Linked DNA regions of Caenorhabditis elegans. The protein of the gene in region 2 interacts with the protein of the main gene of each other region in a pairwise test. Each region holds a gene or a part of one and is shown on either strand. Other genes may lie near its edges. The genes, in order: alh-8 and math-34.

Region 1 (4,448 bases), about 11 Mb from region 2:
AATTACAAAATTCAACAATATTCCTCAAAATATTTTTTCAGACGAGGAAGCCCGCCGAATTCTGGACAGCGCGATCCCGTCGCCGACGGTCGCCAGTCCATTCAACAACAATGCACCACAGTCGATGTCCGTTTCGGTAGCATTGGTGCTTATCGTATCACTTATCAGTGTTGCTCTTCTTATCACAGGTTAGATTATTATGAAGACGCAGAAAATGCGCTCCACGGCCAATTGGAACCGCTCCGCCTCAAATAGTTGGGTCTCGTTAGGAAAAACTGGTAACTTGAAAGTTACCACTTGAAGCTAATTGAAAATGCTGAATTTTGGTAGAATACCTAATGAGACCCACGGTTAGGAGGCGGAGCGTTTTCAATTTGCCGTGGAGGGCGTTTTCACGTTGATTGGGCATTTTTTCTACGTCCCAATAATATTTTATATTTTCCAGGTATAATCATAATCGCCGTCACGCTAGATCCAACTTCAAATAGTGAGGAGGATGAGGAATCGGATTTGGAAATCGACGAACCCACGGCGGCTCGTTCCAAACGGAATGATAAACAGATTGCCGATCCGAATAGTTACTATCCACGTTTTGATTATGATTTCAATCATTCGAATACGATTCTCTCTGAACTGTGATTATTTTCCCCCATTCCATTTACGGGTCTAATCGTCACTTTTATGATAAAATGTGTATTATATATGAACAAACAAGAAATGAGAGGTTGCAAAAAACCATGGCAATAAACGTTATTGAACAAGAATAAAAGAACCAAGAAGTGATTGTGTGTGGGGATGGATGAGAGAATTCAGAATTCACAGAATTTCAATTTACTTGAGCTGTGGGAACGACATTTGTGGCTTCAGCTCGGTGAGCGACTCGTTCCAGTATTGAGTGACAGTCTTCCATTGAGTGTAGAACTGGATTCCGGCCTTTCCGTAGAAGTTGAGATCTCCGAGGAATGAACCACGCGAGCCGGTGAACGAGAACATTGGGAGTGGAACTGGGATTGGCACGTTGATTCCGATTTGTCCGACATCGACTTCGTTGGTGAACTTTCTGGCGGTGGCTCCGTTGCTGGTGAAGATGGCCGTTCCGTTTCCGTATGGGTTGTTGTTGATGATTTCGATGGCCTCGTTCAAGTTCTCGGCCTCCATGACGACAAGGACTGGGCCGAAGATTTCTTCCTACAAAAAATTAAATATTAAATTAAACAAATTTAAAAAAAAACAAAATCTTACTCTGTAGCAAGTCATATTTGGCTTGACTCCAGCGAGAATCGTTGGTCCCACGAAGTTTCCATTCTCAAATCCTGGAACAGTGATATTGGATCCATCAAGTGGAACCTGAGCTCCCTCCTTCTTGGCACTCTCGATAAGACGGAGGACACGGGCCTTGGATTGCTTGGAGATCAGTGGTCCGATGTCGGTATCCGGCTTCCATCCAGCGTTGACCTTCAAGTTCTTGGCCTTCTCGACGAGTTCTGGGAGCCAGGCGCGAGCTTCTCCGACGAGCACAGCGGTGGTGAGAGCCATGCAGCGTTGTCCGGCGGCTCCGAAGGCGGCAGCGGTGAGCTGATTGAGGGTCTGTTCTTTGTTGGCATCAGCCATGATGACTCCGTGGTTCTTGGCTCCCATGTTGGATTGGACGCGCTTTCCGTTCTTGGCTCCACGCTCGTAGATGTGTTTTCCCTGAAAAAATCATGAAAATTGATTAATGTTCATAAAAAACAAATTCAAAAAAACTTACAGCAGCATCTCCTCCAACAAATGAGATAGCCTTGATATCTGGGTTATCGCAGATAAAGTTAACAGCAGAGTGCTGTCCGTGAATAATATTGACACATCCATCTGGAACTCCGGCCTCCTTGGCAAGTTCGACAAGAAGCTGAGCTGCTCCTGGATCCTGCTCGGATGGCTTGATGACCATAGTGTTTCCGGTGGCCAAGGCGACTGGGAACATCCACAATGGGATCATAGCCGGGAAGTTGAATGGACAGATTCCGGCGGTGACTCCAAGTGGGATTCTGTAGGAGTGGGTGTCCATGTCGCGAGAGACATTTGGAAGGGTCTCTCCCATCATCAGGGATGGAACGGAGCAAGCGTGCTCGACGACCTGAAGACCTCTGCTGACGTCTCCCTCGGCATCTGGAAGGGTCTTTCCTTGCTCAATGGTGATGCTCTCAGCGAGCTTCTTCATGTCTCTCTTGATCAAGGCTTGAAGTTTGAACATGCATTGTTGACGGGTCAGTGGGGATCTGGAAACTTCTATTATTGAAATAAAAAAAAAAGATCACACGGGATTCAAGACTCACGTGTTCTTCCAGGTGTTGAAGGCATTCTTGGCCGAGTCAACAGCGGCTTGCATCTCAGCTTGGGTGGCGTTTGGCACCATAGCGATGACCTCGTTGGTGGCTGGATTGGTGAGCTCCACGAAGTCGGTGGTCTTCGATTCAACAGCTTGTCCATCGATCCACAGCTTGACAGTCTGAAAAATTATGGAATTTGGATTTGGAAACTTAAGATCAAGCCTGAAACTCACTGGTGCGGCGGCAGCAGACTTCGATGTGCTGAAGTGGGCGAGCTGTTGGCATTTTGGCTGAAATTAGAATATTATTTGAAGTTTTGAAGTTTTGATTGTTTGATTTTCGTTTTCTTTTTCAATGTGTCACCCCATACGACAACTGTCGCACAGACTGCAAGTGATGTGTGAAGTACACGATTTTTTGTTAAAAAATATTATAAAAAGAAACTCCTACCTGAACACGAGCAAGACGAGACAACATTCTGGGGTACCGCAAGTTTTAGAGCTGAAAATTAGAAGATAATGACTGAAAACGCACGAGAAGAAAAATTGAAAATCACAAGAGATGGGCGGTCGCGTGGTGGTTCTGACGATTCGGATAATGCGAAATGAATGAAAACTAAACATTACTGATCACGTTTCGAATTTTGAACTAAGAAATAAATAAAATAAGCCACAAAATACACGCGAACATTGAAAATTAAAAGGTTAAAAGCTCTATCTGCGAGTTTTTGAAGTTTCAATGCTGTTGATAAGACGACGGGAGGAGTGGCAAATAGGACAGAAGAAGAAGAACAGTTGCTTTTCTCTCTCTCTCAGCAAAAAAAGAAGAAAAAGAAATAAAAAAGAGTCAGAGAGTGGGAAAAGTGATAGTGCAAGAGACTAAGAGACGGCCACAGCACGTGGAGAGACCTGCAACTGCCCACCATTTGACCCGTGTGCACTTGGAGAAACGTGATCGATGCGTCTCGAAAACTCGAATACAAAAATAAAATAGTGTTGGTGAATAAACAACGTTAAGATAAAGATCATTAATTAAAACAAATAAAAATGCGGAATATTTAATTTTATATAAAAAAAAGAAACAGAAAGTGCTAGGAAATGTGACAAAAAAAAAAGTAAAAAATTAAAAATTATGAGATGAGAATATGACAGTGTCTAGTGTCTAGAAGGATAGAAGGCTAGAAAAGATTGAAAAAGAACGAGAATGCTATAAATTCAAATAAAAATGATTTAATTCCACTTGTCGACGGAGACATCCAAAAGTCCTGGCTCATGGAAACTCGCTGGGAAGCTGCGCTGTTTCGCGATGAAGATGGAGGCTTCAGTCTCCTGATCCTGATGATGAGAGGCCTCGTCAGCCGAGACAAAGGACGATCGGAGCCAAAAGATGTAGACGCACTGGAGAATCACGAGAAGGATTAAGACGACGCAGAACACGATCAGCCACATCATCGCGTTCACATTGCTGTCGGTCTGGAAATATATTTAATTTATAAATTTCTTCAACACAACCAGCTCACCTCAGACGGATTATTGCGAGCCAGGTAGTCTGCCTGCTCGTTTTCACAGCTCTCCTTGTTGTAATTCTTTCCATCTCTCAACATGCAATAATCGTTGGCCCTGAAATTATGAATATTAAATTCGAAGATCGATGATTTCTTCAAAACCTGATGATGAGGAGCTTGTTGGTCTTCGGAACAACACTGTAAATCGTCTCCGCGTTACAAGTGATACTCCATTCCGAATCGAGTGTTGTCAGCGTTGAGGACAGGGTCTGATGCGTTTCGTTGACATCTCTCACACTCGTCTCGTAGAATACTCCGTTCGAGACACCTTGGAGTTCGCCGCTCAACAAGGAATTTTCGATTCGTCGTCCAGCCATTTTTCCGGTGATAATCGGCACGACATCTTTGATTTTTGCTTGGAACATCTCCACGTGGCCATTAATTCGCTCCTTGTAGTAAACTGCATCGGTGTATGGATCCTCGACCCAATCGAACAGTCCATTCACAGCGTGGCCAGTGTACTTTGCGATGTGCAGCTTGTCGAATCGATCTGAAAATAAAAAATTATGATTAAAAGGCAGGCTTATTAAGCAAGTGATTACCGCTGAAAATGCCATGCAAGTAAATTTGCTCGA
Region 2 (7,472 bases):
TCTCAAATTTTCCAGAAGGTTCTGGAACATTTCGGAATTTTCACAAAGTTTCCAATATCCCTTCAATAGATGAAAAGTCAATTTTCCCAAACTACAGTAATCCTACAGTACAACTACAGTACCCCAACCATATCCCACCACTAACCCCAAAGCAATATCACTTCAAAAGACGAAAAGCCAATTTTTCCCAAACTACAGTAATCCTACAGTACTCCTACAGTACCTCTACAGTACTACCACAGTACCCTGACCATATCCCGCCACTAACCCCAAAGCAATATCACTTCAAAAGACAAAAAGTCCATTTTTCCCAAACTACAGTAATCCAACAGTACTCCTACAGTACTCCTACAGTACCTCTACAGTACTACTACAGTACCCTGACCATATCCCGCCACTAACCCCAAAGCAATATCACTTCAAAAGACAAAAAGTCCATTTTTCCCAAACTACAGTAATCCTACAGTAACCCTACAGTACCCCTACAGTACTACTACAGTACCCTGACCATATCCCGCCACTAACCCCAAAGCAATATCACTTCAAAAGACAAAAAGTCCATTTTTCCCAAACTACAGTAATCCTACAGTAACCCTACAGTACCCCTACAGTACTACTACAGTACCCCGACCATGTCCCCCCACCAACCCCAACCCATGATCCCTTCCACAGCCCGAAACACCTTTCAAGTGTGACGTCACCGACTACAAACTACAATTGTAACATCCCCCATGTATTTTTTTATATATAAGTAATGATAAATCACAAGAGAATTTTCTCAAATAAATCAATAAATTATGACTTCAACTCCAAGGCTCTAGTTATCAAGGCCTCCAGCAACGGCCTGTCCAATCCGCCGAGCTTCAAGTCGCTGACAATCTCTGCGATTTGTTCAGATGTCGTCATATTTGATAAGCAGTGATTCTGAATTTTTTTGATTTTTTTTTCCTTCAAAATGAAGTTCTCGCTACCTTCAAATTATCCAAATTGAACTCCATTGCGATTCGGAGCATCTCACTTGTAGATTTTTTGGATTTCGACGTCAAAAACTCCTCGCACTGGTAAATAGTTATCAGGTCTTCTTGTTCGGTGGCAGATCTCAACTTGGTGTTCACATTTTCGTCTGTAGAATGTACTGTGCAAGTAATAGGGTGATCAGGAGCTTACCAGTGATCGCAGGGCTTTTCAAAGTGTCATTTTTCAGCTGTTGTTTCGATTTTAGAGCCTGAAAAATTAATGGGGTTATTCCTGTGATATCGAAAAATTCAAAAATGTAATTTTACATTTTTGACATTTTTGGCACATTTTTTGGCATTTATCGACATTTCCCCTACATTTTTTGACATTTTTCTACATTTTTCTACAATTTCCGACATTTTTCTGAATTTTTTCGCATTTATCGACATTTTTCTACATTTTTCTACAATTTTCTACCTTTTTCTACATTTTTCGACATTTTTCTATCAGGTTGTCCCATAAGTTTTTGTACTTTTTTTCAAATATTTTTCCAAAACTTCTAGAAAGTTTTAAAATTTTTTCATCGTAGGTCGTGTCAAGGTCGGGTCGTCCCCTTTCAGAAAAGATTCATTTCATCCATTTCTACTTTGCCACGATGACAATCATCAAACTTGAACGTCGAGACGTTAGATTGCTTCTTCTTTATGAATTTCGTCTTGGTCATTCAGCAATGGAAGCGGAACGAAACATATGCGGTGCGATGGGTGAGGGAGCACTCTCTTATAATACAGCAAAGAGTTGGTTTCAAAAGTTCAAGAACGGCGACTTCAGTCTCGAAGAAATAGAACGTTCTGGGCGACCGGTAGAGTTAAATGAAGAAGACCTAGTGAAGCTGGTGGAGGAAGAGCCTCGTCTTAGTCTTCGTGAAATGGAAGAGAAGCGTGAGTGTTGTCATAGCACAATTGCACGTCACTTGGGTCGCCTTGGTTTTACTTCAAAACTTGGAATTTGGGTGCCTCATGAACTTTCGGCATCACAGAAGCTCACTCGGGTCAACGTTTGTACTCAACTTCTAACTTTTCGTCGAAAGTTCGATTGGCTGAACAATCTGGTTACTGGAGATGAGAAGTGGGTGCTCTATGTTAACCATTCCAGAAAACGTCAATGGCTTCCGATCGGTGAGAAAGGAATACCGACGCCAAAGCCTGATCTTCACCCAAAAAAGATTATGATCTGTGTCTGGTGGGGTGTTCAAGGACCCGTGCACTGGGAATTGTTGCCAACTAATAAAACTATCACTGCTGATTACTATTGTGCCCAATTGGACCGAGTTGCAGAAAAGACCAACGGAAAATATGAAAAACTATATTTTCTTCACGATAATGCTAGGCCTCATGTCGCCAAGAAGACTTTCCAAAAGCTGCAAGATCTTGGTTGGACTGTTTTACCGCATCCACCATATTCTCCAGATCTTGCACCAACCGACTACCATTTGTTCTTGTCTCTCAGTGACTACATGCGCGACAAGCAATTCGACGACGAAGAGCATCTCAAAACTGAACTCTCCACTTTCTTCTCATCGCGTTCGCCGGATTTCTTCTCCCGTGGCATCATGATGTTACCTAGTAAATGGCAACAAGTGGTGGACACTAATGGTGAATACTTGTGTGAATAGTACTACTTGTCGCTTGAGAGAAATAAATTTTTTTCAAAAAAAAAATAGTACAAAAACTTATGGGACAACCTGATACATTTTTCGGTATTTTTCGACATTTTTTCTATATTCGTCGACAGTTTCCCCTACTTTTTTTTTGACACTTTCCCCTACATTTTTTCGACATTTTTCGACATTTTTCGACATTTTTATACATACATTTCTCGACATTTATTGACATTTTTCTGAGCTTTTCGACCTGTCACTGACTAAGGCTGGCTCCTCCTGAGAGCTTACCCAGACCAAAAGCTCACCGATTTCAATTCACGTTCCATGTTAACCTCCGCGCGTTGATCAGCCTCCTTCTCCATCTTCTCATTCATCAGTGTCAGCTGCTTCACAACATCACCAAGCGTTCCAATGTCAGAACTCAGATCTTTATTCCTTGTATCCAAGTCTTTAATTCGTTTTTGAACTGTGGTAGATCTACCAAATTTGCTTCTAACTCCAATATCAATTATTGATCCTGCTTTCGAATTCTCATTTATCAAGTTGTCGGGGATTCTTAATTTTGACTCGAAATCCTCAAGTTCTTCTGGTTTCTGAAATGGAAAAAAATTACGGAGACCCGGAAAATGTCGGTCGCAGCATAACTTACATCATCATTGATTCCAGAAGCATCTAGTGTTCCTGCTCCTGAGTTCTCATTTATCAGGTTATCGAGCACTTTCAGTTTTGATTCGAAATCTTCAATTTCTTCTAACTTCTGAATCAAAGTATGGGAGATTGTTCACCTTTTCTATTTCAGCGCCCGACTCCTCCCGGGTTACCCGGAAAATGTCGGCCGCATGACTATGACTTACATCGCCCTTCAACGTCTGCTGCTTTGGAATGAGGACGGAATCGATAACATTAACACGAGCTTCAACCTTCAATGCTCCATCGACAAGAAAATCACCAACAGACTCCCAGTCAAAGATCTCTTTCCCCTGAATGCAGTACTGTCCGTAGATTTTTGACTCGAACACGGCATCTGAAAAATTTCTATCATGGAATCCTTATTATGAATGACCCACCTTTCAACTTTTTGGCGAATCGATTTCCATTTTCCGATGATATAACCAGATCAATTTCTGCTCGAAGTTTGCGGAAATCTTGACCGAACTTTTGTCTCCAGGTTATGCCGACGCCAATATAATCATCCCTGCGCATTAAATGGATCCTCCTGAAGTACAGTTTAGATTACTGGAAATCGTGTAACAGTCTTAAAGGAAGCAAATTGATTTGTCGAAAAAAACGGCAAATCGGCAAATTGCCGGTTTGCTGATTTGCCGGAAATTTTCATTTTCGGCAAATTGCCGGTTTGCTGATTTGCCGGAAATTTTCATTTTCGGCAAATTGCCGGTTTGCCGTTTGCCGGATATCAGATTTGCCGGATATGTTTAGAGGGATTTTTAAAAGACGGAAACACCTAAAACTGTGTCTATTTGAATTTTTCCGATTTTTTTTACACATTTTCATAGAATTTGTTTTTTTTTCAAAATAGATGTAGGAACATTTATAGGATGCGCACAATTTGGCCGATTAAAACATATTCGGCAAATTTGCCGATTTGCCGATTTGCCAGAAATTTTCAATTCTCGAAATTTCCCGGTTTGTCGATTTGCTGGAAATTTTCAATTCCGGCAATTTGCCAATTTGCCGATTTGCCGGAAATTTTCAATTCCGACAATTTGCCAGTTTGCCGATTTGTCGGAAATTTTCAATTCCGACAATTTGCCGGCTGGCCGATTTGCCGGTTTGCCGATTTGCCGGAATTTTTCAATTCCAACAATTTACCGATTTGCCGATTTGCCGGAATTTTTCAATTCCAACAATTTACCGATTTGTCGAATTGCTGGAAATTTTCAATTCTCGCAATTTGCCGGATTGCCGATTTGCCGGAAACTTTCATTTTTGGCAAATGCCGGTTTGCCGATTTGCCGGAAATTCTCAATTCCGGCAATTTGCCAGTTTGCCGATTTGCAGGAAAAAATCGTTTGCCGCTCATCCCTGGTCTAATGTGATAGAATTAAAGGCTTTAGTCTCAAATGTCCTAAAGCTAGAGTACTTTTAGAAAATGGGCCTAAAAGATAAAATTCTGAAAATATGGGTCTCGAAGCGATAGGGGCTTGACTCACCACCAGTAGTTCAAATGTGACCCCTTCTCGCTGTACATTTCGTCCCCTGGCCTCATGAACTCTATATTCTTAAAAACATTCTCCATCTCAAACTCGCCAACTCCGGACTCTTCAACTTCCAGACCCCCCAGATGAGCCTGCACCTTGATCTTCCCATCCACCAGGAAATCATTCTCGATGGACTCCCATCCAACAATTCGCTCGATTTTTCTGTCAACTTCTGACTTGTCAAACTTGAAGCAGGAGCCATCGAATTGTTTTGCCCAGCGATTTCCGTTGAGAGATATTAAAATGAGTTTTAGATTTGTTTTCACTTGCTCCACGTTTTTCTTGCTGGAGCACTCCAAGGAAAGCCACAAAGAGTCCTCGGAACGGGTGATGCCAAGTGTCCTGGAATATTAATATGACTTGAAATTTGAACTTTAATACTGGGTAAGCCATAATTACAGATAAAAAAATAATTTTTTTTTTGATTTTTGATATTTGGTAAAGTTTGAAAAAAATATAATAATACCATTTAAAGTCTCCAAAGCTCTCGGAGTTGCCTGTCAAGGAAGCGTTATCTTCTAAGCCGTCAACATATTCAAATTCATGTTGCAGAAGGAAATCTGCCATTTTTACGGGAGCTCTGAAAAATGATGAGAACTGGATTAGCAATGAACCCAAATTCAAAAAAAGAATAAAAAAATCGCCAAAATTTCATCTTAAAAAATAACTTAACAATAGCAAGAAGTCACAAGGAAACATAAAATATTTAATAGATAGGAGTTCCAACAAAAACGAAATGACAGGAGAAACGGCGGTAAAATGTGCTTATCAGTTTCAGTGATCATTTCACGGAACTATCAGTCAACAAGGTGATGGGAATTTTTTGAAGTTATCAGAAATTTGACGGGAAATTAAATTTCTGGAGTAATATTTTTAGCGGGAAATTTTTTTTTCAGGAAAAAAAGTTTAACCGGAAATTCAACTTTTACTGAAGAAAAATTATGGCGGAAAATCGAAATTTAAAAAAAAAATTGTGGCGGTGTGGTTTTTTCTTGTAATAAAAATATTAGAGAAAAAATTTTTGGCAAGACTTTTCAAATTTCAAAGTTGTGAGAAAAAATTTTGGCAGAAAATTCAAAATTTTCTGAGAAAGCATTCTGATAGAAAATTAAATTTAACTGAAAAAGAATTCTAGCGGGAAATTCAAATTTTTGAGAGAAATTTTTGATATGAAATTATTTTTTACGAAAAAGCTTTAATAGTTTTAACCCGAAATTCTTTTTTTTTTTTGAGAATAAATTTTGTCGCGAAATTTAAGTTTTAATAAGAAACGTTTTTGGCAAAAAACTAATATATATATATATATTTTTTTTTTTTTGGGCTGAAAATTCAAATTTTCTAACACTGAGACAAAATTCTGGCGTAAGCTTCAATTTTTTAAAAAAATGATTTTGGCAGGAAATTCAAGTTTTCTGAGGAATTTTTCTAAGAAAATCTTTTGGCGGGAAACCAAATATTTATTCAAAAAAATTATAGTGGAAAATTGAAATTTTCGTGAAAAGAACATCAAGGGGAAATTTAGCTTTTTTGAAACAACAAATAGTGGCGGGGAATTAATTTTTTGAGAAACAATTTTTGCAGAAATTCAACTTTTTTGAGGAAAATTTTTTTGGCGGGAATTCAAAATGTATGAAAAACCATTTTGGCGGGGAATTAAATTTTATTTTAATAAACATTTCTGGTTTGAGATTATAACTTTCTGAAAAAAAAGTCTGCGGAAAATTCTGAGAATCTTATTAAAATTCGACAAAAAAAATAACCGACAATAATTTATTTGAAAATTGATAACATCTTCCAAATAAAATCAAAAAATTAATCAATACAATTATCAACTTTGAACTAATTCATCATACCGCCAAACTCTCATCTCAAAAGTTAAATGTTGCACTTCCACCTCATCATACCACAAAACGATCGTAGCTATCGTTCCATCCGCGTTTTCAACATCTACGCCACCCTTCAACTCCACAATTTTCTCATGTTTCCAGTGATAACTTCCACTATGGCCATTGATCCGATAGGTGCCACGAAGAGCACCCGGACCCGGTCCATCGTGAAAATTAATCCCTTTCAATAAATACCAGTAAGTCATGAAATGTTCTCTCAAATCAGTTGTTGCATTGATTGTGAGATACTCAAGGTTCGGGTTGGATCCTCGTATCCAATGCTTCATGAACAGGTTGAAATCCTTATCGGTGAACGGTGAAGTGTTCGGGATTTTTATACAAGAGCTGCCGCATGAGAGAAGGTCTTCCAGGGTGAATAGAAGAGTTGGCTTAAGAACTAGTCTGTCGAGGTTCTGAATGAAAACTTTCTGATAATCCTGTGAGTCTCTGTACAGACAGTTTCGAATTAGAACTTGATTCGCAGATGGTAAGTTGGCCCAGAAGAGCTTCGAAGCCAATTCATCGAATCTTGGGGTTGCCGATGAGAAATCAACAGCTAAAAGCCTTATGTCAATCCCCTCCAGAACCCTTGTTAGACCTTCAATGTCTAAATTCCTGGAGTCCAAGGGAGTTGTGAGACTAAAATCGATCCTCTGAATCGCCAGCACATCCATCAAGAATTCGAGCCAAGATCTCATGGTTTCCGGGTGAACACATTCACATGGTGACCGTGCATTGATATTTTTA

The links.
Region 1: the proteins of math-34 (region 2) and alh-8 interact in a two-hybrid assay, tested with the Caenorhabditis elegans proteins (one large-scale study listed by BioGRID).

What each region holds. Positions count from the first base shown.
Region 1 is NC_003280.10:11,727,417-11,731,864, reverse strand, and holds alh-8 (putative methylmalonate-semialdehyde/malonate-semialdehyde dehydrogenase [acylating], mitochondrial), read right to left. Parts: upstream 2,811-4,448; 5' UTR 2,787-2,810; coding exon 2,760-2,786; intron 2,600-2,759; coding exon 2,543-2,599; intron 2,489-2,542; coding exon 2,316-2,488; intron 2,269-2,315; coding exon of another isoform or gene 2,259-2,268; coding exon 1,751-2,258; intron 1,693-1,750; coding exon 1,243-1,692; intron 1,189-1,242; coding exon 832-1,188; 3' UTR 667-831; downstream 1-666. Other genes in the region: F13D12.8 (Col_cuticle_N domain-containing protein), read left to right, coding at 42-188, 446-639; F13D12.5 (uncharacterized protein), read right to left, coding at 3,539-3,781, 3,829-3,928, 3,976-4,363, 4,416-4,448. UniProt on the Caenorhabditis elegans protein: Probable malonate and methylmalonate semialdehyde dehydrogenase involved in the catabolism of valine, thymine, and compounds catabolized by way of beta-alanine, including uracil and cytidine.
Region 2 is NC_003280.10:1,026,921-1,034,392, reverse strand, and holds math-34 (MATH domain-containing protein), read right to left. Parts: upstream 5,422-7,472; 5' UTR 5,407-5,421; coding exon 5,306-5,406; intron 5,182-5,305; coding exon 4,792-5,181; intron 3,837-4,791; coding exon 3,688-3,836; intron 3,645-3,687; coding exon 3,475-3,644; intron 3,378-3,474; coding exon 3,270-3,377; intron 3,214-3,269; coding exon 2,926-3,213; intron 1,226-2,925; coding exon 1,168-1,225; intron 1,124-1,167; coding exon 972-1,123; intron 925-971; coding exon 796-924; 3' UTR 728-795; downstream 1-727. Other genes in the region: M01D1.12 (F-box associated domain-containing protein), read right to left, coding at 6,668-7,423.